Arabidopsis thaliana: one gene and its partners. The protein of the gene in region 1 interacts with the protein of each later gene in a pairwise test. Each region holds a gene or a part of one and is shown in the gene's direction. Other genes may lie near its edges. The genes, in order: ZFHD1, HB22, AtHB23 and HIPP21.

What was found.
Region 2: the proteins of ZFHD1 (region 1) and HB22 interact in a two-hybrid assay, tested with the Arabidopsis thaliana proteins (one study listed by BioGRID).
Region 3: the proteins of ZFHD1 (region 1) and AtHB23 interact in a two-hybrid assay, tested with the Arabidopsis thaliana proteins (one study listed by BioGRID).
Region 4: the proteins of ZFHD1 (region 1) and HIPP21 interact in a two-hybrid assay, tested with the Arabidopsis thaliana proteins (one study listed by BioGRID).

The regions. Positions count from the first base shown.
Region 1 is NC_003070.9:26,179,467-26,185,647, forward strand, and holds ZFHD1 (zinc finger homeodomain 1), read left to right. Parts: upstream 1-2,689; 5' UTR 2,690-3,003; coding exon 3,004-3,732; 3' UTR 3,733-4,080; downstream 4,081-6,181. UniProt on the Arabidopsis thaliana protein: Transcription factor involved in the up-regulation of several stress-inducible genes. Acts as a transcriptional activator by interacting with MED25 and NAC proteins. Involved in increased drought tolerance.
Region 2 is NC_003071.7:15,346,715-15,352,426, forward strand, and holds HB22 (homeobox protein 22), read left to right. Parts: upstream 1-2,496; 5' UTR 2,497-2,612; coding exon 2,613-2,697; intron 2,698-2,816; coding exon 2,817-3,211; intron 3,212-3,296; coding exon 3,297-3,374; 3' UTR 3,375-3,576; downstream 3,577-5,712. Other genes in the region: RPL24A (ribosomal protein L24), read right to left, coding at 3,834-3,990, 4,085-4,233, 4,322-4,423, 4,533-4,608, 5,095-5,105. UniProt on the Arabidopsis thaliana protein: Probable transcription factor.
Region 3 is NC_003070.9:9,352,641-9,359,190, forward strand, and holds AtHB23 (homeobox protein 23), read left to right. Parts: upstream 1-3,186; 5' UTR 3,187-3,485; coding exon 3,486-3,591; intron 3,592-3,672; coding exon 3,673-4,043; intron 4,044-4,308; coding exon 4,309-4,599; 3' UTR 4,600-4,862; downstream 4,863-6,550. UniProt on the Arabidopsis thaliana protein: Probable transcription factor.
Region 4 is NC_003076.8:5,752,279-5,758,778, forward strand, and holds HIPP21 (Heavy metal transport/detoxification superfamily protein), read left to right. Parts: upstream 1-2,943; 5' UTR 2,944-3,107; coding exon 3,108-3,185; intron 3,186-3,527; coding exon 3,528-3,603; exon of another isoform or gene 3,604-4,147; coding exon of another isoform or gene 4,148-4,169; coding exon 4,170-4,465; 3' UTR 4,466-4,725; downstream 4,726-6,500. Other genes in the region: AT5G17440 (LUC7 related protein), read left to right, coding at 156-214, 518-599, 685-728, 816-1,040, 1,119-1,137; AT5G17460 (glutamyl-tRNA (Gln) amidotransferase subunit C), read right to left, coding at 5,304-6,106, 6,376-6,455. UniProt on the Arabidopsis thaliana protein: Heavy-metal-binding protein. Binds cadmium. May be involved in cadmium transport and play a role in cadmium detoxification.

The DNA.
Region 1 (6,181 bases):
ATGATTAAAGTTAAATCCATCTTTTAACTTTAAGAAAAAATTTGCATAAATTAATAGATTTATCGTTGTCCATCAATAAAATGGATTTATAATTTTACTATACAATTTTAATGATGGAAATATAAAAATAGTTTTTAAAAAAAATATGTATCTTGTTTGAATCTAATGTTAAATTGTATTCAAAAACAAAACAAAAAAACATTGATACATATGAATGTAAATTTTTCTTAAAATAAATTATTAAGAGATTCTATGATCTATCTTCACCTCTTCTTCTTAGTACGCTCAAACGGATTTCATGTTCTTGTCAATCAATTTAACGATTTTCTTCGTGGTCGAAGATTGGTCTCGTGCCTCCTCTCATTTCTTTATCACTAAATAAAGAGTATCGTGTTTTGAAACAGTACTTGGGAATAAATTTTGTTGTGGAATCAAGATCTTTACTCGCAAGCTCTCTCGTGATATCCTTCTATTTTGTCTGAGTTATCAGCTCTTCCCACACCTTTCTCGAATACTGGCATTGAAAAAACAAATGCTCTCTCGTCTCCAACGGATTTTTACAAAATACGCAATTTGTATCCGCATTTTGGTTCCATTTAATCATTCTTTATTATGTTGCAACTTTGCTTTTCACAACCAGTCAAGTGACAACATCATACTTTGGAGTAGCTTTGGAAAAACTAACTTCTTTGTATCCTTGCATCTCCGGTTTAGCTATGCATATTTGTGACCACGTCTCTTTAGAGACAAATTGCTTACGGTAGTTATCGTTTTTTATCTAGTCTTTGTTTCTGTTTATTTTTCTAGTAGTGAATTTTAGCATTTGTTATTTATCTAATTAAGTCTTACTTTGTGTCATTTACCTACTTATTCAATAGGTATATACATAGATAGAAACGTTACGCAAAAATGACCCCATGATCATATGACATTTAAAATTTCGGCTACAAATGACTTTTTCTCCAACCTTAGTGGCCGGTTTGCGGGATGCGCGTGCTATTTCGGTCATTGACAAGATCGTTAGGAGATTGTTCTAATCCGTCTTTATGATTCTAATTGTGATACGAGTAAATAAATTGTTAAATCAAAGTCTCTGTCAACGAATTATTAGTAAAACAATAAATACGTTTATTTAATTATTTTTATTGTATGGTCAAATATCTCCCGATTGTTGTAAATTGGATTCTAATTAAGCGTGATTGGTGACTAGGTTTATGATAAACGACAAAACGTAACACCAACTGTTATTCATTTATTCTCCTCGCAAACAATGCTTTAATTAGTCTCATTTCAGGGATCAGACTCTTAACTATACATTAATGAATAATTTATATGCCTTTCAATAAGATTTTAAGTTAATTAAACGAGTATCCAAAGCTTAACGAAATGAATGTTGATGTCTGATTTGTTTTGTTACTTTAATTCTAAAGAGTAAAGACCTTAGTAATTATAATTAATAACAAAATTAGCCATGCAGTTTGATCTTACCAATAACATTCACATGTAGTAACATTGTAACTTATAAGAAAAGGTTCATCATTTTTTTCATGAATGGATCATCATAAAAGTAACAATAACTAGTCACAAAATGTTCCTTCAATTTTTATTTTTTTGATAGAAACTATATTTGTTGTAAAAACAAACCCTATAAGAATCGATATGGAAAATGGCTAATGAAGATTCAAAATAATTGTGGGGTACTTAGAAGAGGAAGACTTGAAGACATACACCACATAATTGTGACCCAAAAGCTAATCAATAACGTAAGCAAAATGCGAAAGAACACTAAATTTCGGCGCCACACTAATGACAAGAAGTGAGAATAAAAGGTCGGTAAGAGATAAGAGTCTTTCCAAAGGGTGGTTAAGGAATTTAGACATTTAAATTTCATGATTAATTACGAAACATGAAGTTTGGCAATTGTCACAACAAACTCTTCTTTGCTCCACGATTGAGTCAAGTATTAAGTATTCGTGCGAAAGAAGTTCTTTTAGAGGTGTTTTCGGTAATCTACAAAATCTTCTAGTTGTTTAGCACTTTTCCTTTTGGAACGAATTAGTACATTAGCATAAGTCAAATATTTCACTAGAACACGTAATACCTATACTAGTAAGAAATTTTATTGACTTTATTGTTTAGTTAGATTATCGTTATAGGAAAATTTACGATTTTAGACCTCTAGATAAGAAAATGGTCCCTAAACAGAATCAAAATTGAAAAGATTAAAACGTTTTAGTATAAAAATGCAGGGGTGATACAGTGAAATTAACAGAAGTATGGGGTGGTAACGTAAACTCTTAAAAATAAGAAACTGTAATATGTACAGTGGAATATGAAACTGCAGGGCAGCTGTAATTGTCCTTTAGTACGATGCATGTAATGGGCTATTGCCACGTATACACTTTGGACTCAAATCTTCCAACTAATCCCATCCTCTCCTTCGAATATATTCGATTAATTAAAATTTTATGTCACGCTCAGAAATTATTCATCTTTTTTATTTCTTTTACACAACAAGTTACCCACTGGTGAAAGTGAAAACCCATATCTTACAAATGTCCCGTAAAATCATTGCTTTCTGATAAGACCTCAGATTCAATATTTTATACAGGTTCAAAGTGTATAGTCTGTCTATATAACGTATGAATAGATATCAAAACTAGTGACTAAAATATTCAAAAAAATCTCTGTTTCACCAAAACAAGAAAAAAAAAAAGTAAAAAAGAAGTTGTGAATTTTCATTGATATACAGTGAGTGTTTTCTTTCTTTTGCTGTATGTTTTGGACGTTTGTGAGTAAGCACTTATTATTATTTTCCAAGTCCTAATTATATTTCATCACTGCCATGTTCTTTACCGATATAATTACATCATCGTCACATGCACTTACATAATTATCCTTTTTTAATAAATAAAATAAAACTACAAAACCTAATCTTCTCATTAATCACAAAAGCAAAAGATTTAAGTAAACACACTATAAAGACAGAACTAAACAAAAGCTATGGATTTGTCTTCCAAACCACAACAACAACTTCTAAACTCTCTTCCCATCGCCGGAGAACTAACTGTCACCGGAGAAATGGGTGTTTGTTACAAAGAGTGTTTGAAAAACCACGCGGCTAATCTCGGCGGCCATGCTCTCGACGGTTGCGGCGAGTTTATGCCGAGTCCCACGGCTACTTCCACCGATCCTTCTTCTCTCCGTTGCGCTGCTTGTGGCTGCCACCGTAACTTCCACCGCCGTGACCCTTCCGAGAATCTCAACTTCCTCACCGCGCCTCCGATTTCTTCTCCCTCCGGCACTGAGTCGCCGCCGTCTCGTCACGTGTCTTCTCCTGTTCCTTGCTCTTACTACACCTCAGCTCCTCCACATCACGTGATTCTCTCTCTCAGCTCCGGTTTCCCTGGACCGTCAGATCAAGATCCAACGGTGGTTAGGTCAGAGAACAGTTCAAGAGGAGCAATGAGGAAACGAACAAGAACCAAATTCACGCCGGAGCAGAAGATCAAGATGAGAGCCTTCGCAGAGAAAGCTGGTTGGAAAATCAACGGATGTGATGAAAAGTCGGTGAGAGAGTTTTGTAACGAAGTTGGGATTGAGAGAGGAGTTCTTAAAGTGTGGATGCATAACAACAAGTACTCACTTCTCAATGGCAAGATCAGAGAGATCGAACATGGCCTGTGTCTGAACACTCACAGCAATGATGGTGATGGGTCTTCATCTTCTTGAAGAAAGATTCAAGATTCGGGTTAAACCGAATTAGGATACTTTAATTTGGGAAAATATGAGCATTAACCGGTTTAAAATCATATAATAGTGTCTTTTCTCTAACATGTAATCGATCTTGATATAAATATTTATGCGGTTTGATCTTTTCTATTTTCATCACTTTGACAGAGATGTGGTCAGAGATCACAAATGGGTTTGGTAATAAATAAGTTTTTAAATCGGAGGTTGAAACGAATTTTGATAGACCATTTCTAATTATAGTAAGTGCATAAGCGCTAATTGTGATCGTAGAGATCAAAAGATTCGTTTCTTTGTTTACTTTCTGATTATTCAATGTTATCTTCTGTATTATTAGAAATAAATCTCCTGAACTTTAGAGATAGAGTAAGTAAAGTTTGCTTAATGAAGATACGACGACGTGGTTATTACGAATTGCAACAAACTATGGCGTGGCGGAATATAATTAGGTCACTGGGCGGCACATTTTTGTTGTTAATTTATATGATATGATTAAAAGTTATTAAAATGCTGGCTTATCTCTTTCCATTTAGGGATAAGCTTTGGCAACACCAATCTTGCTTATTTATCCTAATTAAGTACAATGCAGATGTTACGATTACTAAAATATCTACTATGTGCAATGATTTGGCTCTTCCCGCACCACTGATATTAAAAATTCGTTTTTTTTCTTTCATTCATCATGTATTAACGAATCATAGCGAATGCTTTATCACGTATAAATGGTCGTAAGTTCAATGCCGGAGACAAAGTATTTTACCATGTATGTACGAAGTAACGAAGCCCAAGCCTTAACAAAAGGCCGGTACGAATATCCATGCCAGATAGATCAATGTATGCAAAAGCTCTATGTAGATACGAGTAACTGCATGCAATGATTAATGATCAATATATGGTACACAAATTGTTTAACATGCATTTGGCGGATAAAATAATTTACATTATAGATCGGTATATGTGTTTATGGTTGGATGATTGAATTTTTTGTATGCTACTAATTAAGATTCCGATTGGACAATATTCCAATACCTAGCTAATATCGATTTTAGATGTTAGTGGTCCGATTAATTGATGATGTAGATATCAAATTCTTATATCAGTGGATCAAAAATATGATACACGAAGACATGTTACATAATGATGAAAAAAGTAGCAACGGATAATCCCCATACCAACAGTATGTAACATGTCTTCGTGTATCACATTTTTTAGATGATATTTCAAAAAAAAAGGTTTTTATTAGTTAGATGTTTTCTTTTGTTGGAATATGCAAAGAGGAAAGCAATGTAAAAAATTCCATTATAGCTAAAGCCCATTGTAGTTTTTGATTTTTGAGACTAGACCCAATAACACACTAAAGGACACTAATCGAACCAAGTATCTTAGGGATCCGTTAAGTCTTTCACCAACCGGAGACTTGGTCAAGTATAAGTATAACCGTTGAAGCATACCATAATCCAAGTCAAAGATCAGAATCCTTCAGTGGGGATCTTGCATCCAAAATCGATATGTATAGTCACGGTGGCAATTTTGAGCCAAGCCAGAGACGAAGCAGCTCAGGAAAACTCATCATGCTTTACTTTGGATTGGTAAGGACACTGATAAGTTGATCACCACATGGAACATCTTTATCATCTATCTAGTGTGTATTTATGTTAGATAAATGATTATCAAGAGAGGTCTTCTTGGGTTGGGAGATGTATAAGGTAGTGATTAAGATGTATATAAACACATTTAAATGAGTCAAATGGTTAAATAAGTCAATTTTTTGTTTGAAGTAAAATAAAATAAATAAGTTTCTTTTATAAAGTAAACAAAATCATTTTACCTTCTTTACAATTTATAAGATAAAACATGCACCAATCACCATTTATTAAATCTAGTTTCCATTTTACCTACATTAAAAGAGGATGGGATACGTCAGCATCAATGTCTGGTCCAAATTTATTGAGACACGTGTAGCCTTGCATCTCTATTGCACGTTGAAAATGAAACGAAAATGATAATTAATTTGCTTAACACCTAAAAGAAAAGGACTAATAAACGATCGCACTCGAAATTAAAAAGGAATTTTCAATTTCAACGTAACACGAGCATCTGCCAAATGCTCTCGTATAATAGTCAATCAATTTTGTTTTTGGACCGTGACTTGGCCATGTTTGGACGGTCGAAGACCAAAATCTCTCACGCGACTATCTACAATTCTACATGTTACCCAAACTCATTAATACACCTATAAGGCTACAAGTGTTCACCAGCAGCTACACATAACATGAAACTGCTGATATTTTTCGTTGGTCGCCCCCCCATAGGCATGTATGTCCGGGCTCGACCGTGACCCGATCATACCTTTACTTGATCTATATCTTCCAACTTTTCTAAATAGTTATGAAACGCTAATTATCTTTACTATTACAACTACTTTTTTTTT
Region 2 (5,712 bases), on another chromosome or scaffold:
TGCTTGTATCTCATACTATAGTTAAAAACTTGTACCATTTCATATCACCAGTCGATTCAATATGAACATGTAAAGTGGGTACAAATTGTGATTACTTAAAAAAAATGAAAATAGATAGGCTTTGACAATTGTAACTTGAAAGAAAAGGGTCTTGTTCAAACGTAAGGACCATTCTTTAAAAGGGACCATTTTAATGTTAGGGTAATTGTTAAAACGTAGTTTAAGTTGTTATTCCAATGTCTATTTTCGTATTGAATGTTGATTTCGTTTTCACGACGGGGAGACACGTGACAGTTTCGACTTAAATTACCAAAAAGGTAATAATGGCAAATGGAAAGTCAGGTTCTGTGACTTCTGCCTTCCACTTGTTGGCATTTGGCAGTGCCAAAGTACATGTCAGAAAGATGTTATTGTCAAATTTGTCTGTAAAAAGAATTCTTATACTAGATTTCACCATGCTCTCTGTTTAGCAAGTACGTAATATACTGAAAACATTAACCGTTGGTTTTGGTGTTTAACTAACATGGAATTTTGACCTATAAAGAAGGAAACAATTCTAGTGAGCTTCTTCTTTATACGAAAACATTCAGTAAATGACACAACACGCTGCTCTCTTGAGCTTTATTTCTCTGTAACTTTATACTATATGGTCCTCGTTTTTAGATTATCATAATATAGCTTTCTTCGTAGTACTATTTAGTATTTACTCACTCAATTTATCACTTCTACACTCTCTCTATTCATTGGATTGTGACAATAATAGTTACGTATCTCGATCCCAAAGTGTTGAATTCAATAGATTTTAACAGGCTTTATACCTTCAGCTTCTAACAGAGATGCTTCTTGATTTAGCTTAGAACTAGCAGATAATAAGTAGATCTCTTTGGCATCTTTGATTATCCATCATGCTCCTGATGGTTAATTATTCTGTTTATATGTAACTTTTATTGTAGTTACATTCTCATTATTGATCCCTTCCAACATTGATGATCAAATATATCTTCGATCGGGATTCAAAAGAGCCTTTAACTAATTACTCTTATCTTCTAGCGTTTGTAGGATTTTTGTTCGCTTTCATTAACATATGTGAACACGAAAAGTTAAACCAATTTTTATGATTATAATCTATTACAAATTTATTTGGTTTACATTGTTTTATTTTAAGCAAAATCATATGGGACTAGTGGCTCTTTTTCCGTTTCCCAACTTATACGTGTTTTCGATACCACATGTTATATAAAAAATATATATAATTAACAATATTTCCAAATGCTTATGAAAAATTAATAATGATTTAGATACAGTTTTGTTTCTGGTAAAGATGTATAAACTAATACACAAGGGAGAAATAAATTATTAAAAAAAAGTCAGTTTAAAAAAATTAGGATCACCGGTTAAGATTTTTTTCTTTGAAAATCTTTTATTTTTATTCAATCCAATGACTTGATACAGAAAAAATATCCCCATCTTGAAATCACATCAAAAATTGGCTGATGTAGTTGTTACGTGCTTTGGAAATGGAACAAAATATACTTATGTCAGTCACAATTAACGTTTAAACCGTAGAATTTGATTTAGAGAAACATAACTAGTGCTAGAAACTTCATCTTTATCTAACCATATAAGCATTTACCATTTCTTCAAGATAAGTTGCATCATTCAATTTCTAACTATACTTTATCGCCGGATCATACCAAAAAAACACGTAGATCGATATGATGATACTATTTTCACTAGTGCACTGTGTGCTCCCAAATTTTGTCAGGATCAGAATTGGACCCTTCTGATCTATCTGTTGGAGTAGCACCCTGCAGCTCCACAGTGTTAAATAAAGATTGTGGGGACTTTACAAATACATATACATACAAAGAGATGAAAACTGGAGGCTATATTACAGATTGAGAGTAGAAGTTTGAATTCATATATGTCAGATTGGTTGGTTAATTAAGGTAGAGAAAGTGATAGACATTTGTACAAATGTAGAATCTGGACCATTCTCTCTTTTCTTTTTCACCTCTATCTCTTACTCTTACTGTTCCTTTCTCAACTCACATTACTTTCATTTTATTTTATTCTTTTATATATACTAAAATCCACATTAATTGGTCACGTATAATACGAAATACCTACGTTATTACTTATGTAAATATCTTACTTATGGAAACATACAAGGTCATGTGAGAATATGAGAATAATAATCAATTTTTAACAAAAATTTCAAACTAAATAATCACCATTAACTTTTTTTAGCTCGTTTTGTATCGTATAATGCATTTGCTCAACACCGCCTATTCTTACCCTCATCGTTCGGAGTACTATTTGTTACCGGTCAGACTAATGAAACCATTCATTTACACATATATTTATCTTACTTGATAGTGACCAATTAGTTACCCGAAGTTAAAAACAGAAGCCCTAGCGTTTTCAACCACATTTACTTATCTATATATAATGTTCCTGCATGTTCTAACATATGCATATAGTGATAAAGATACACCCATATCAAACACCCAAAGTTGCTCATTTCCTTGTTTAGGTAAAAAATAGTCTCTTGAAAGTGATTGTTGTAAGCAGAGATAGACAAAAGAGGTAAAAAAAAAGAAGAAGAGAAGATGGAATATTGGAGCAGCTCCTTCATCGATGGCGCGTCTTCTTCCAGCTTCATCTCTCCTTTCTATAACTTTGACCATTTTTCAGGTAACATGCATCCATAGTACTAGGTTTTAGTAGAGCTAGTTTATATGCTTAATGCTTAATCATTCACTCAACTGTATGTCGCTTTACAAGTCTCTCTCTGTCTTGTATTGAATTTGTAGGAAACCAAGACAACAGATGTTTAGGTACAATGATGGGTGCACAACAAGATATACTTCATGTTCCTCTAGCAATGGTAGAGAGTGGCTATGGAGAAGAAAGCAACAGTTTTAATGGACAGGAGAAGAAAAAAAAGAAGATGACGAGCGAGCAGCTAAAGTTCCTCGAGAGAAGTTTCCAAGAAGAGATAAAGCTGAATCCGGACAGGAAGATGAAGCTGAATCCGGACAGGAAGATGAAGCTGTCCAAAGAACTGGGGCTGCAGCCGAGACAGATTGCGGTTTGGTTCCAGAACAGGAAAGCCAGGTGGAAGAACAAACAACTTGAGCATCTCTATGAATCACTAAGACAAGAGTTTGATATTGTCTCTAGAGAAAAGGAATTGCTACAAGAAGAGGTAATTACTCCAGTGATCAATACTAACTTAATAAATAAGCTTTCGAGTTACAATCCATTGAGTTACTTTCACTTTGTTTCAACAGCTAATACAACTGAAATCAATGATAAGAGAGGATAGTTCATGCAAGAAGAAACAAACCTGGGAAAAAGCCTGCAGCTGAGGCAATAGTATATAAGTTCCACTTCAGTTATATCTCCAAAATGGCTCAAATTTGTAGCTTTAGTCCCAAACAAGCAACAATTTCTATGGCTGATTCTGTTTTCCTTTGTATTAAGTATTGTTTAAGTGATTTTCGTGTAAAGGGTTCTTTACTAAGTTGAAGTTAATGAAGAAACATCGTGATTCAAGAACTCTAGATCCATAATCAATGCTTAACCAAAGCTCAATTTAGCTCAGACCACTAATAATGTCCTAGAATAAGCCAAGTTGAAAATTCTATTTAGCAGTTTTTGGATCTACGAGTAAAACACAAGGGGATTGATACCAAACAAAAAGTTTTCATAAACTGAATATATTAGATCTGGTGCAAAACTAAAAAATGGCTGACAAAACAAAACAATGTCAAAACAAGAAAGAAAGATAAGTGAAGAGAGAAGAGTGGGCTACTCTATAGCTCCATTCAACGTCTGCCTCCACCACCACCCATCTTAGCAGCCTTGGGTGCAGCACTCTTGGGGATATTTCCCTTCACTTGTGACTTCTGTTGCTTTGATGCATACTCGACCTTCTTTGCCTTCTTCTCGTCCTTGGTCTTCTTGATTCTCTCCTTGATCTCACTGCATAATCATCAGATTAGCTTTGAATCAATCACATTTCAGTTTCAAAAAAAAATTGATGTATATAGTGACTGTCTTCGGGAAAGAAACAAACCGTAGGGCAGCTTCTCTAGCGGCATCACGAACTTCAGGCTTCTCTGCTCGCTTCTTCTGAATAACCTCCAAAGTAGCACCGACAATCGACCTTGAGTAAGGCTTCTTAGTTGCACGTCTCCTTCTCTTCACAGCCTCTTGTGCTGCGTCCTGTAAGAAGAGAGAAAACAAAGATCACAACAGAATTCAATAGTACTAAATCATGAAAACAAGAAGCAACTAAAAAAAGAAACATTACCTTCTTGTGCTGCTTTCGGTACATAGCAGTCCAGCAAAGCTTAGATGGCTTCAACTTGTTGTGGAAATACCTCTTACATTTGGAGTTGAGAAACAAAAACACCTAATACAACCATAAAAACCAAAGATGATTTAATCAATACAGATACATAGTAACAACAGATAAGACTCTTCTTAACAAGTAGAGCACACATTTAACCAAAATAAAGTACCTGAGAGTCCGATCGGATAAATCTGATCCCTCTACCAGGGTAAATTTTCTGGCCACTGAATCGGCAAAGCTCAGTCCTACAATACAAAGATAATCAATGGTTTAGTGATAATCCAAAACCAACCCTGGTCACAATCACAAACAGTCACAGGACACACATTCAAAGCCATCTCATTTTACAATGTCCTAAAAGCAGAACTAGTAAATGGCTAATTAGATATCTGCCCAATGAGAGAAACAATACGATTCACAAGAGTCACAATGATTTGAAACAGAGACCAAACACAATTAATTCAATGTACAGAATTACAAACAAAAATGTTGCAAAGTGAAGGGAAACAATAAGATCTAGTTATTGCCGAACACAAGCCATATCTCGTACCAGAAAATCACAATTTGCAGACATTTCTGATCGGGAAATAAACAGATTTGAACCAAAAGAAGCTCATTTTAGCAAATTGGCATTTTCAACAGTAGCAATATTCACATGGATCATTAGCAACAATGTAAACCTATGAACAGAGAAGCATGGAGAAGAGAGATATAGAGAAGAGATTGATTACTTGAGAACCATGGCTCCGCCGCGCTATTACTCTTTTCACTTGAAACCCTAAAAAATCTGTTTTCTAGAATTACGAATCTATTTAAGGCAGATGAATTCGCCTGAGCCCTAGTTTTGGAGGAGTTTAATGGGCCTTTTAGCCGAAATTAAATGTCTTGGCCCATGAAAGAAATGTTTTAGTTAAAAACCCATTACACAAAGATTTGATGGCCTCTAATAAATAAAAAATGATAGTTAGTACAGTCTTAATAGGACCAAATGTTGTTTGGCTTGGACTTCCATATCTCACATGCATCATTTTTTGTTTGTTTCGAATTTGACGTTTAACCACGAACAATATATCACAAAACTATACATAAATTCCAAGAAAAAAACTCACGGCTAAAATGGTATATGGACCAAGATGATCCGCGAATCATTCCATTGCAATCTCTCTTATCATTGGTTGACAAAACTTTTGGAACCACAATACTTAAATGCTTATAAAATTTAATCACTCAAGTGGGAAGACGATGTTGTGGTTAGATTTGTCTGAAGATGTCTTTTTCTTTAGTCAACTGTCTCAAAGTTGCCTTTGTTGTTCAACAATCTTAGCCAAGTCCAAATCAATTGCCCTCCT
Region 3 (6,550 bases), about 17 Mb from region 1:
TGTATGTATGTATGCATGTTAATTGTATCTGAGGGTCCAGACCTGGCGTATAGTAGCCTGTGTATCATGAGATCCTCTAATATTTATGATTAATGACACGGTCCGTTTCCTTTTTTACTATACTGATCTACTGTTATAAGTTTCGTTTATCATATCTTTTTCTATAATTAACAAGCTGAGGAGATTATCGGTGTATGCTCGAAATTTCTTAGTTGAAGAAATTAAGAACAATATATGTGTATGCCAAATAAATAAGTTATACTTGGAAGTATGTCAATACAATTTTATCAAAAAAAATAAAATGGTATGTATATACAATTTAAAAACGTGGAGAAGTTGTGTCTGAATTTAAATTGTTTAAAATATGATAGAAACAGACGAAGACCTCGATGTTTTCGAAGTCGTTTAGTTTGGATTATCTGTTTTTTAATGTTATCTGTAGTATATGGTATGGTCGTGCCATTTTATTTAAATCCTCTTGCATGTGATCATTAATGTGTTATCTTCGTCGTGTATATTATAACACGTATTGACTCGATAATTACGGTATTAGTGTGGTGTTATTAATGGAGTAGATAATTTATGATTACGTGTTAAAAGTAAAATGTATTGGGATATAAGGTTACATACCTTTTCTTTGAACAGAGAAATTCTTGCGCCTGAAAGTTAAATATAATCATGTACTGTATCAGTTCCCGTTTTTTTTCGGTCATTGATTTTTTTTTTCGGGCAACACATTAGTTGTTTTTATTTATGAGCACCAAAGACTAAGTAGAATTTTAAAAACATGATGAAATATTAATTATGACTTGAAGACATTTGAAAGTGTGATACATGTTTAGGAGCTGGTAACACGTTTTTAATGATAATCTCTCAATTTAGTATAGAATAAAATATACATATTTTGTATTATTCTGACAAATCAAATAGTTTTGAGTTATCACAAACTCTACAAGAAACCCATCTAAATTATAGTATAAGAAAATACTCCGGAACGCCAACCTTTACTTAATCAACCCTAAGTTGACGACCCAAAAAAAAAATTAACCTTTAAATCATTTGAATAATGGCCATAGGCCCAAATATGTTAACAAAAGAGCCTTGGCCCAGTTCCTGGCTAGACTTCCTTTCATTTTCTGTTATTTTTTTTTTGGTAAACCAACGGGAGGGACTGCCGTCTTTATTCAATAGAACCAAAAATAAAAAATTACATGGGCACATGTCTAGCCCCAGCAACACCTGCAGCATCCTCACGCATAATCGAATCGACAAACGGAAGACCTGAGTCAAAAGAAAGAAAGCCTAAAAGTAAACTAAAAGCATAGTTTGCTAACTCGTCAGCAAAACGGTTAGCTTCCCGATAAACATGCGAAACTCGGACTATCCAGTCCTTTGATGAGAAGCCATAGCACAAACGTACTAGGAATGACAACAGATGAGAGTCTTCTATCCCTGTCGTGAGAAAACCAGCCACCAATTTTGAATCTACCTCAAGCTCCAGCCGCGTTATACCCTTCTCCCAAGCTATAACCAACCCGTAGTACACACCCCAAAGCTCTGCTAACGGAGCCGTGCACCGCCCTAAATTCAGGGCAAAACTTCCTCGCCAATCCCCGTACTCGTCCCGCAAAGCTCCTCTTTTTCTGTTATTGTAGTGTGTGATTTGGCTTGTTCTCGCAAACATATATACCAACATTAAACAATACTCAAGTTTGTCCCCCCAAAAAAACTAATACTCAAGAAAATATACAAGTTGTTTTTCCATTTCAACAATTGGCCTTAGCCATATGTGTATACTACAATTTAAGATTGCATAATACATTAAGAAGGAATAGGCTTGCAATGTGATTTTTTATTAAGCAAAAAAATGAAAAAATATATATTTTGTGTACACCTTTTGATACTAAATGAAAAATTGAGCATATTTATTTATATGCGTTTGTTTGTATGTCGTTGAATTGCACTTTTCATATCTCATGCAACATAAAAAATTCATAGAATAAATAGTTTATGCTTTTAGATAAATACAATTGAGGTTAAAACACACAAAAAAGAACAACTCGTGGTAATTTATAAAATAGTTTCAACAAAAATATTTAAACTTGTAGAATATAGACTTGTTGATTACAAAATGATTTGATAGGGAGACCAATTTATACAGTAGTTGGGCCTATATTAAAGTATTTTATCATAAAACCGACCAAAACGTCTAAGAAAGTTGATAAGTGGGGGACCTGAGAAAGAGAAGAAGAAGAAGGAAGAAACCGGCCTCGCATATAAAATGGGCTTTGTGTCAAAACACAATCTGCGGTGATGAAGAGCTTTTTGTGTCCCCCGAAAGTATGTTTACCTACCATAGAGAAAAAGTCATGTTATGTTGTAAAAGGTTTTAAAAAGAAGAAGTCTAATCATATCATAGACTAGTGAGAGTTACCATGTAGGACCTTAGAGTTTGCTTTCATTTCATATCATTGAGACATAGACAAGTGATACCATGTAGGGCCTCTAAGAGTTTGCTTGCATATACTTCTTGACGACCAAAATCACTAGTTTTAGTTCTCGTTAGAAATAAAATTCCATTGACTTGAACACTTATGCATGCAACCATCCAAATGCTTATGTAGGGCATGCTGTTAAAAGAAATTTTAATTAGATATCAACTTTGAAATATTTCATTAAGAATATCAGTTTTTTTTACATATCATATTTAAATTCAACTCTTTTTTTGAAGAGAAAGTGGTAAGAGTATCTAGATCTATAAACTCCCAAAATTTGAAGTATTTGTTACAAATACTCAAATTGTTCATTACGGTACATATTTAATTATACACATCTGAATTAAATATATTCACAATAAATTAATTATGATAATCTAGTGGTTGAAAAAATTACTATTAAATTGAGTGACCATAATCTAATCAATTCACTGTAATATCAATCATGGTTGACCACTGTAAACATCTTAAATTGCAAGAATATGCTATCTTTCACAATGTCCGGAGATTATTATGAATTTCGTTTCAAAAATTCTATAATAGAAAAATATACATATATAATTAGTATGACTATGATATATCTGTCTTTCTATTCGTAAAAAACAAGAATTATCTTTAAAAATACTTGATATGAAAAACTACATAGTACATATCCGTAATCTACCAAAACGGATACAACGTAGTAAAATTAGGGATTTTCCAAAACATACAAAAGCCCATATTCCACCCCTCCAAAGACTATAATCATCCCATGTCTACCTCTCTGTCTCATCGGCTTTGAGTCTTGTCTCCTATTTTATATACTCATATAATAAACAAAATAAAACCAAATTTTCTAATCTAGCTAGTATTTAGCCTATAAGTGGTGTATACTCAGTCTTCTAATTCATTTCACCACCATCCTTCTTCTTCTTTATTTAGTTTTCTTTCTGTACTTTGAACCAAGACAAGGTGGTGGAGAGGAGAAGAAGAAAACAACCAACAAGAGACATGTCTTGTAATAATAATGGCTTAGCTTTCTTCCCTGAAAATTTCAGTCTCCAAAACCATCACCAAGAAGAAGAAGATCACCCTCAACTTCTTCAAGACTTCCATGGTACATCATCTCAATTAACACCTTTGTTCAAAATTTCTAATCCTTTTTTTTTCTACTTCTCAAGATCTTCTCTGTTTTTAGGGTTTCTAGGTAAAAGATCTCCAATGAACAACGTGCAAGGGTTTTGTAATCTAGATATGAACGGAGATGAAGAATATTCAGACGATGGATCTAAGATGGGAGAGAAGAAGAGGAGATTGAACATGGAACAATTGAAGGCACTAGAGAAGGACTTTGAGCTTGGTAATAAACTTGAATCAGATCGAAAATTAGAGCTAGCTCGTGCCTTGGGATTGCAACCTAGACAAATTGCTATATGGTTCCAAAACAGAAGAGCTCGATCCAAAACCAAGCAGCTTGAGAAAGACTATGACATGCTTAAGCGTCAATTCGAAAGTCTCAGAGATGAGAACGAAGTTCTTCAAACTCAAAATCAAAAGCTTCAAGCTCAGGTAAAAGCAGAAACTTCATAACACAAAAGTACTCTGTTTCTTTTTTAATCTTAAATACTCTGTTTTTTAAATCATATATTTCATAAAATATGAATCTTTTTTAGTTGAATTTTATAAAAACAATGCTCTTTTTTGTTTTTTATTGATGTTATTCTTTCAGTTTCGAATTCATAATTTGGAATATATTTGTTTTAGGTCAAAACATAATTTGGAATCATTTTGCAATTTTACGTTCTTTCTTAAATAGTTTGTGTAAATTATGCAGGTAATGGCATTGAAAAGCAGAGAACCAATAGAATCAATCAATCTGAACAAAGAAACAGAAGGATCATGTAGTGACAGAAGTGAGAACATTTCTGGTGACATCAGGCCACCGGAGATCGATAGCCAATTCGCCCTAGGCCATCCACCGACAACTACAACGATGCAGTTTTTTCAGAATTCATCGTCAGAACAGAGAATGGTGAAAGAAGAGAACAGTATCAGTAACATGTTCTGTGGAATTGATGACCAGTCTGGGTTCTGGCCATGGCTTGACCAGCAACAATACAATTGAATGTGGTCGATCTGTTCTTGTTTGTATTAAAATTTTCGTTTTCTTTAAGTGGTCAGATGAACCAATTCATGTTTCAAGAATCTATATTTAGTCTATATGCACCAACTAAGCTAGTAGTTTTTTTGGGTAATGTGATGTAAGAGAATTAATGGGGGAAATATTCATCATATTATATGATAATTAATCAATCATATGGGCCATATGATTAGACATTAAAAAAAGTCTGAACCATGTGCTTTTATATCGTACAACTAATATCCAGAAAACTCTAAGAAATAAAAATTTTAAAAACCCACCCAAAAAGACTTTTCCATGAAACAAATTATGCTTATGTCATAATTAAGTCTATAAGATGAACAAAAATAGAAGACATGATCTTAAAAATAGATCATTAATTACGATTAGCGGTACAATAAACTGTAGAAATCATATAGTTAAATGGCACGGTTGAAGTAAAATGTGAAGTGTGTGAAAGAAAGAGCATCAATTTACAGATTCCGAGGAGAGGATGCAAACAAATAGGGTTGGAAAGTGGTCATTCTCTTTCTGAAAATGGACCCAACACTTTTTACCCTTTCATCGACACTGACATTGCCCGACGACTCCAAATTTGTTATTCATATAAGCCATCTCTTAGGCTATGAATGGTGACATACACCGTACCCAAAACCGCACCGCAACAGTGTCAAAATCTCTACATATACATATGTATTTATATATTTTTGTTACTATTTGAACCGCACCGCACTTCTTCCGTACCGCAAAACGCAGTCGCCATTCGGACCTTTAATTAAAAAATAATAATAATTAATAACACACACCATGACTTACAAAAGTTGTGAACCACCAAGGCACTAAGTTTGGAGTCGTCGAGCAGTGTCAGTAACGGTGCTCTTTATACATTATATCTCTACCGTTTAACTTGTATTGGAGCCGCGTTTTAATTAGTAAGTGGTGTATTTTGCATCGCACCGATACAAATGTTAGCAATCACACACCCATGGAATCTATGGGTTTTGTTTTTTTTTTTTTTTTCCGAATATGTGTAAAAAGACCTCATTTGACTGGTAAATTAAAACCTATACGAGTATTAACAATGACTAAACGAGTTAAAATGGAATTGCATAGCATTAGAAAAAACTTTTCGGAAAATGAAAAGGTGATAAAGTTTCCATTGATGATTAGTCTAGCGCCGGGTGGAATAAAAATTGACTGGGGAACAAGAAAGCGACAGAATCTGAAAGCCAAGAGGGCAAGAGGATTATCTTCGTATTCTAACGTTGACAACCAAACACCGAGGTTAAGCTTGTAAAATGTGTCATTTTGGACTAATTAATTCAAGAATCTTCATGGGATCATGTGCATTTCCTTAATCTAATGTTTTATTGGTTACTGTAATATTCTAAGGATATTTTCTTATACGCAAATTTTAAATCTTTGACATTTAGGGTGACGGTTCTTCATATGCCAACACGCAATTCCACTTCTCTAAGAACAATTAGTTTTAAAATGTAATACATAATAATTCAATGACTCTAACCAAATAAATAATTACCTGTAAAGAAGAACTTGTTATGTGGCCATGTGCATAGAGGTTTAGTTCCCTAATGAAGTATTCACTTCCAATGGACACGCCGAACATACATTGACCACAGGAATGTAATGCGGAAAGTATCAATTACTTCTTCGATGGAATTTTATATTCCATTTGTTATGTACTATACATTCTTAAGAAACTAAGCATTTATTTTAAAAAAATTTAATTAGATAATTCATTAACTTAAAATAAATTTTAATTTTATACTATTAGATTTAATTTATTATAGTTTAATTTAATTTAACTCAAATTAATTTAATTAAAATAAACTTAATTTTTCATTTTATTTTAAATTGCTGATTAAAATCAAATTTATTTATTTAGTTTTATTTTTATTGTATATTAAATTAACTA
Region 4 (6,500 bases), on another chromosome or scaffold:
TGAAGCATGTATTCAGTGTTCTCAATTGTCAAACAGCGTAAACAGAAATTGCTTTTGAAGTGAAGTATATACCATTTTCTCATCTCTGCTCGCTGTATATTTTTTGTCACTGTGTTGGTTGGTAGTCCTCATTCTCTCTTCTCTTATTGTCTCAGACAGACCAGAAGCTGCGTCTATGTGACATATGCGGAGCATTTTTGAGCGTCTATGACAGGTTAACTTTAATTACTTAAATTTGTTTATGTTTTATGGTTCCGTGGCGTTTCATAAGAAAGCTAGAAATAGATTATTGGGTTGCAAGTGGTTCATTATTTGACCCCGGCTATTGTACCTCCTTTTCACCAGCAGGCTATTTGGGCCCAGTTTTACGAGGATTACTTTTGCAGCTAATAAATGTGCGTTCTTTCTTGATTTATTGTGCCTGTTAGAGATAAATAATGGAACTTTAAACTATATCTTTGTCACCAATCTGTTATTTGCATTTGGCAATGTCAAAAATCTGTTGTACTGCCTTTAGTGATCGTCGGTTAGCTGATCATTTTGGAGGGAAGCTTCACTTGGGTTACATGCTGATCCGCGACAAATTGGCAGAGCTTCAGGTAATATACAGTAGAATCTTTCTAGTGATTTTCCTTTTCTCTCTTGATATAGACTGTATAGTTATATTCTCTCTGTCTTCTTCAGGAGGAGAAGAACAAAGTTCACAAGGAACGGGTCGAAGAAAGGAGGTTTATTTTTCTCAAGCATTTGAACACATTGTTTGTTTACTTCCTTTAATCTTCAACATTTTTGCTGAAAACCTAAACCAATCTCAGATCAAAGGAGAGGAGTAGAGAGCGAGAATCAAGTAAAGACAGAGACGGAGGAGATAACCGTGACCGAGGAAGAGATGTTGACCGCAGGAGTAGAGATCGTGACAGGCACCATGACCACCGAGAACATGACAGAAACTATAATCAGTCACGTGGCTATGACTCAAGAAGCCGGCGCAGTTCACGGTCCCGGTCTAGGGAAAGACCGAGGGATCATGATCGCCGCAGGTAACTTTGATTAAGAACATACACACATCTTATTATTACTTCTGGCTACATTAAAGTAAGTATTTAACTACCTTGCAGACGCCATGACCGCTACTAAAACCCTGCCAAAGATGGTTGCACCTGGTTTAAGAGGTTCTTACAGATGCGTTTAGGATCTATTTGGAGTTACAAACACTTTCTTTTTTCTTTGCTCAAGTGTTTTAAGGATTTTTGAGATTGTAACTTACTTTAAGTTTGTAAGAGGAGCTTCTTCAGATATCTTTAATTTGTTTTTTATGTTGTTGACATCAAAGACTTGCGAGTAGAAAGAAGATTTTGTTGATCTCATGGCTCTCTCTCTCTCAATTGAGATGTGTATGGCTTACCATTAAATTGGTCTCCTTCTGTAGTGGACAACATTTTATCAATTTTTTTTCTTTTTAATAATTTGACATCTATCCATACACCAAGAAAAAGCTTTGGCAAAAAATTTAAGACAACATAGAAAACTTGTGGTAGTTATTTGTTTATTTCTTATGACAAAATTAACGGTCGATTTAAAGCCGTAAAAGACCACAACAGTAAAAAAACATGAATTGTGTCCAACACAGGTGGCTTAGAATCTACGAGAGACGATTTAAAAATTGTCTGATATGTTTCAGAAAAGTTAGAATATAAAAACTGATCTTACCCAAAAAATAGCATAAGGTTCAACGTCAAGTCAGCGTACTCTCTCCATTGTACTTCTCTCGGTTTTCTGCGTACACCTTTTACTATTCTGCGTTAACCTTACTGAAACATAGTTCGATTCCATTGAAAAAGCCGCAACTATATATTAGTAAGGAGAAGAATAAATGATTATCCAAGTTAAAATATTACAAAAAATACCAAGTCAGTCTTAAGCCTCACATATTTTTAGAGCAAAATCTAAAACATAACCACAACTTCATGATGAATACGAATCAGCATTTAAATATTGTTGAAACTCATCACCGTCAAACCTTATCGCATCACCTCCTCGTACTCGTAACACCCTCCTAACATTTAAACAAACTTTTAAGAGATCATTAATTTTGGGTTATGTCATTTAGTTTCCTAGTTGTTATCGTTAGAACAATCTAATTATCTAAATATCACGCAAATATCTATATCTACAAACTATACACCTATATTGAAAATATCCCAAAAATGCTAATATATCCATTAGTAGAAAAAGGGAAGGTCAAAGATCATTTGTAACTCAACATCACACTGTATCACAAAGCATCTCAAGTTTTAGCATTGTTCTATGATTTTATTCAAAAAATAAATAACGGTCACCATTCATTTTAGTGTTTTTAAAGCATCTCATAATAGTATTTATATATAGTTTTAATGATTTTTAAGTTGATGGAATCATATTGGGCAATTATTGGGACTTTCTTTCTAAAAAATAAGAATTGGGTGATGCAGAAGCCACACTCGTTTGAATCGAAACCAAAGCAAAGGTCAATAAAAAAAAGAGTTTTGTTTAATAACGCCAATAAATTCTCATTACACTATAGTATGATTAAAGAAACTGAAATCAAACATATCTATAATAGAGGTCTCTTGTTTCAGTTTTAACTCGAATTGATGACTAGGACAAGATTCAGCTCTCATCAAATGTTTTTATGTTTTTTGTTGATCTCATCAAATTTGTTTTGATATATCCTTAATTATAAGGACAAAAAAACCGGAATTAAAAATAATTGATTTTATTTCATCATTGGTTTACCATAGTTTTTTTTTTCCTTCTCACTTTTGTTCCTAATCAACCTTTTGCTTCTACAACATTTTTATCGTGAAAAAATATTGAATTTATTCTGAAAAATAGACTACTCAAAAAAAATCCAAGAAAGCCTACATATGTACATGGAATCTTGAATGCATGTCACGTAACTCTCTTCTCCTTCTCTATTAAGAAAGCCTCTTTCTTCTTCTCTCTCCCTATATATACACTACTCACAAACACTCACATACATATATATACACAAACATACAATATACATATTAATTTACACACATTTGATCATATACACATAGTTTTTTTGCTGACGAAAAAAGAGAATGGGTGCATTTGATTATATCTCTAGCTTTTGTTCATATACATACGCTAATGCCAAAACCAAGCGTAAGCCATTGCAGGTCTGTTCTTTCTCTCATCTCTTTTACAAGCTAGCTACTCTGCTTTTTTTCATTCTTTATATCACACATAATACTCTATTATCTTTATACTCAAACTGTTTTGGTTAACTTCAAAACTATATGCTAATACGTTATACGTCCCATGCACAAATTCAAATGTTACGTTTCAAAAATGTGAATATGGTTTTTGTTAAATACGTTTCTTCAAAACTTCATCAAAAAACAATTCGTTATACATAGCTAACACAATTGGTCGAAAGTCGAATCTAGAAACTCATTACTGCTGAATATAAAATATGCATGTTTATTTTAATAATTGGTAATTAAATGGGTTTTGTGTAGACAGTGGATATCAAGGTGAAAATGGACTGTGATGGTTGTGAAAGGAGAGTTAGAAACGTGGTTCGTCGCATGAAAGGTTCTCTTTCCCCATCTCTCTCTCTGACTTTGAATCAAAACTTTCTTCAATCTCTCTTTTTTTCCCTTTTTGTTTCCATTTTCTTTATTCTCCATGCTTTTCTCTTTTAAAGATTCTTATTCCTCTCTTAAAATTGCAATTTTATAGCTGGCCAGAATATATATAATTACAATTACTAATCATTTGCTCAATCCTTTGATTGGAAAAACTGTACCAAACTTTTAGTCCGAAAATATTATGGGTCAAATGGTCCCGAATCTACCTTTATTTACATATGTTAAAAGAGTCCCATGAAGCATTATCAGTAAATATGATCCAATCACATTTTTCCATGGAGTTATTAGTTTCTTTACTTTATAATAATTTTCTAATAAAATAAATTTTGTAGCCTAAAAAATATAGTAAAAGATCATAAATATGGTAGTAAAACAATTTGGTAAGAAAAATACTTTTAATCTTAAACTCCAACATAGTATGATATTATAGCAAACTAGAAAACAATTTTACTGATATAGATATACATTTTAATATTACAAAAACTTGAATGTTGAAACCGACCGGTACAGGGGTGAAATCGGTGGAGGTGAACCGGAAACAGAGCCGGATAACGGTGAACGGACACGTGGACCCAAACAAGGTGTTGAAGAGAGTGAAGAGCACCGGTAAAAAGGCTGAGTTTTGGCCTTACATACCTCAACATATGGTCTATTACCCTTTTGCTCCTGGCATGTACGATAAACGTGCACCTGCAGGCCACATCCGTAATCCCACTCAATCGTTTCCAACAGCAAACGCTCCCGAGGAAAATTACGTTTCCCTCTTCAGCGACGACAACGTCCACGCCGCTTGTTCCATCATGTGAGCCAACCAACCAAAAGATTACTCATAATCTCCATTTTGTAATTTGTATACTTTTGTTAAAATCAAAAGGTAATGTAGGAACTTTGTAATAAAATTATAGAGACAACACCGGAATCTATTTGATGGTTTATGTTTCGAACAATACTTTTTGTCCAAGAAGAAGTCAAATCAATAACCATAAGCTATGTAGAATCTTAAAAGTGAAAAATAGGTATAATGGACCAATTAAGCAACCAATGTTTGTCTAATTTCTATAGGACATGAATGACACTTTGACAATAATCATACATTAATAAAATAATTAAAGAAGAATATTAAGGAAGAGACCCAAAAATCAGAATCATGTGATTTGTTAGGCAAATTGCTTCATTTTTACTATTTTGACTAGAATAAGCTTCAAAGGGCAAGAGAGTGTCACATTTACAAGTTCCAATCTTTTTAACACCAAAGGAAAAAAAGAAAACTTTTGAAGATCAAAAGAATGCAAAAAGCTGTATTCTTCTTCCCCAAAAAAATGTCCAAGAGGGACCAAAGCATCTTTAGCTTTTCTTTCAAAGCTTCTTTCTTTAGAAGAAGGAATCATAAAGACCAGAATCACGGTAAAGGAAAGCTGTTTACTCACGGTACCGCATTACAAATTTACGATGAAATAAGACTTGAGTGGATATTTTTGGAGGCTGTTTGGTGTTCTCTAAGCATGCTTTAAACCTACAAAGATCATTCTGAATCAATATAAGATTAGTTTAAAGAAATGGATTTGATACTTTAATCAATCGTTTGAAAGAATGAATGGACTCACCTGTTAAATCTATCGAAATCGTTGAACTAGCGTGGAGCTTTTACCGCTTCTTCGCTTTCCTTATTCTGGACTGTGCCTTCTGCCATTTCTTCCTAGGCACTAGTTTACTCTTTGGCTTCAACTTTATTTCAGGTGTGAACTTGAAGTTTGGATCTCTCATTCGAGTTTGTATATCCTTGAAGAACTGCATGTTCAGTCTCTTGGGTCCACCTTTTCTTAGCTCTTCATACTCAGGTCCCGAGATAATGTTTTCAAATGCTCCAATCAGAATGTCAACATCACTCATTACTTCCCACACGTTTGTGTAGCGCCCATCAGGCCCTTTATTCAGTTTCTTCAACGCGTTCTCAACAGCAAGCTTCCTCGCCTTTTTACCGGGTGAAAGCTCCTCAGGTTCATTTTCAGATTTCAACAACTCTGAGATTGTCCTGTACTTTGGTTTCTCCTCAAACTCAAACAACTTATCTAAGTATTTATCAGATGCCTCGTTCGGGCGTGGCTCTGTTGGAATATCGTCGTCATCATCACCTTCATCGCCAGTCCACAGCGTTTTTTCCTCATCACTTCCTGACCAAACGCTGTACAATTCATCACTATCATCTCCATCAATTTGATCGGTGCTATCCTTAGCTTGTTGTCTAGCTTTCTTAATCTCTTTTTCAAGACGGTTTCTTCCGCTTTCTTGTTTTGTCTTATCATTGCTTTCGTCTTCACTTCCTGACCATAGAGTATCATCATCCTCCATTTCTTTCTCCCATGTTTTTCTAAAGTCATCATCACCTGGTTTCACATTACCAAATAGATTGTAGTCTTTTCCTCTTCCACTTGCATAAAATCGAGTTGCTGCAACACATTGAAACAACCGAAGTGTCACATATATTGAGACTCTACTTTTAAACAATATCACCTTCCCACCAGTGTGTACTCAATTCCAAAAAAACTAAACTTTAAAAGAGTCATGAACAAATAAACTCTCTGCGGCATTTCCACGAACACCTGGTCTACTACTTGGACTAATCCGAACCAAAAAAACTAAAGACACCAATATACGAACAGGCTCGGAGATATCATAGAGGCTTAAAAGATCAAAACATGTTGGAGAAAAATGAAACCTTGTATAGTCTGACGAAACTCAGCAAATACCCAATTTTGAGCAGAAGTTGTCGGACACGAAAGCAAGCGACTTTGTGATCTACAATTAAAACAGAGAAACTACATCAGCTTCGTAATTAGGAAC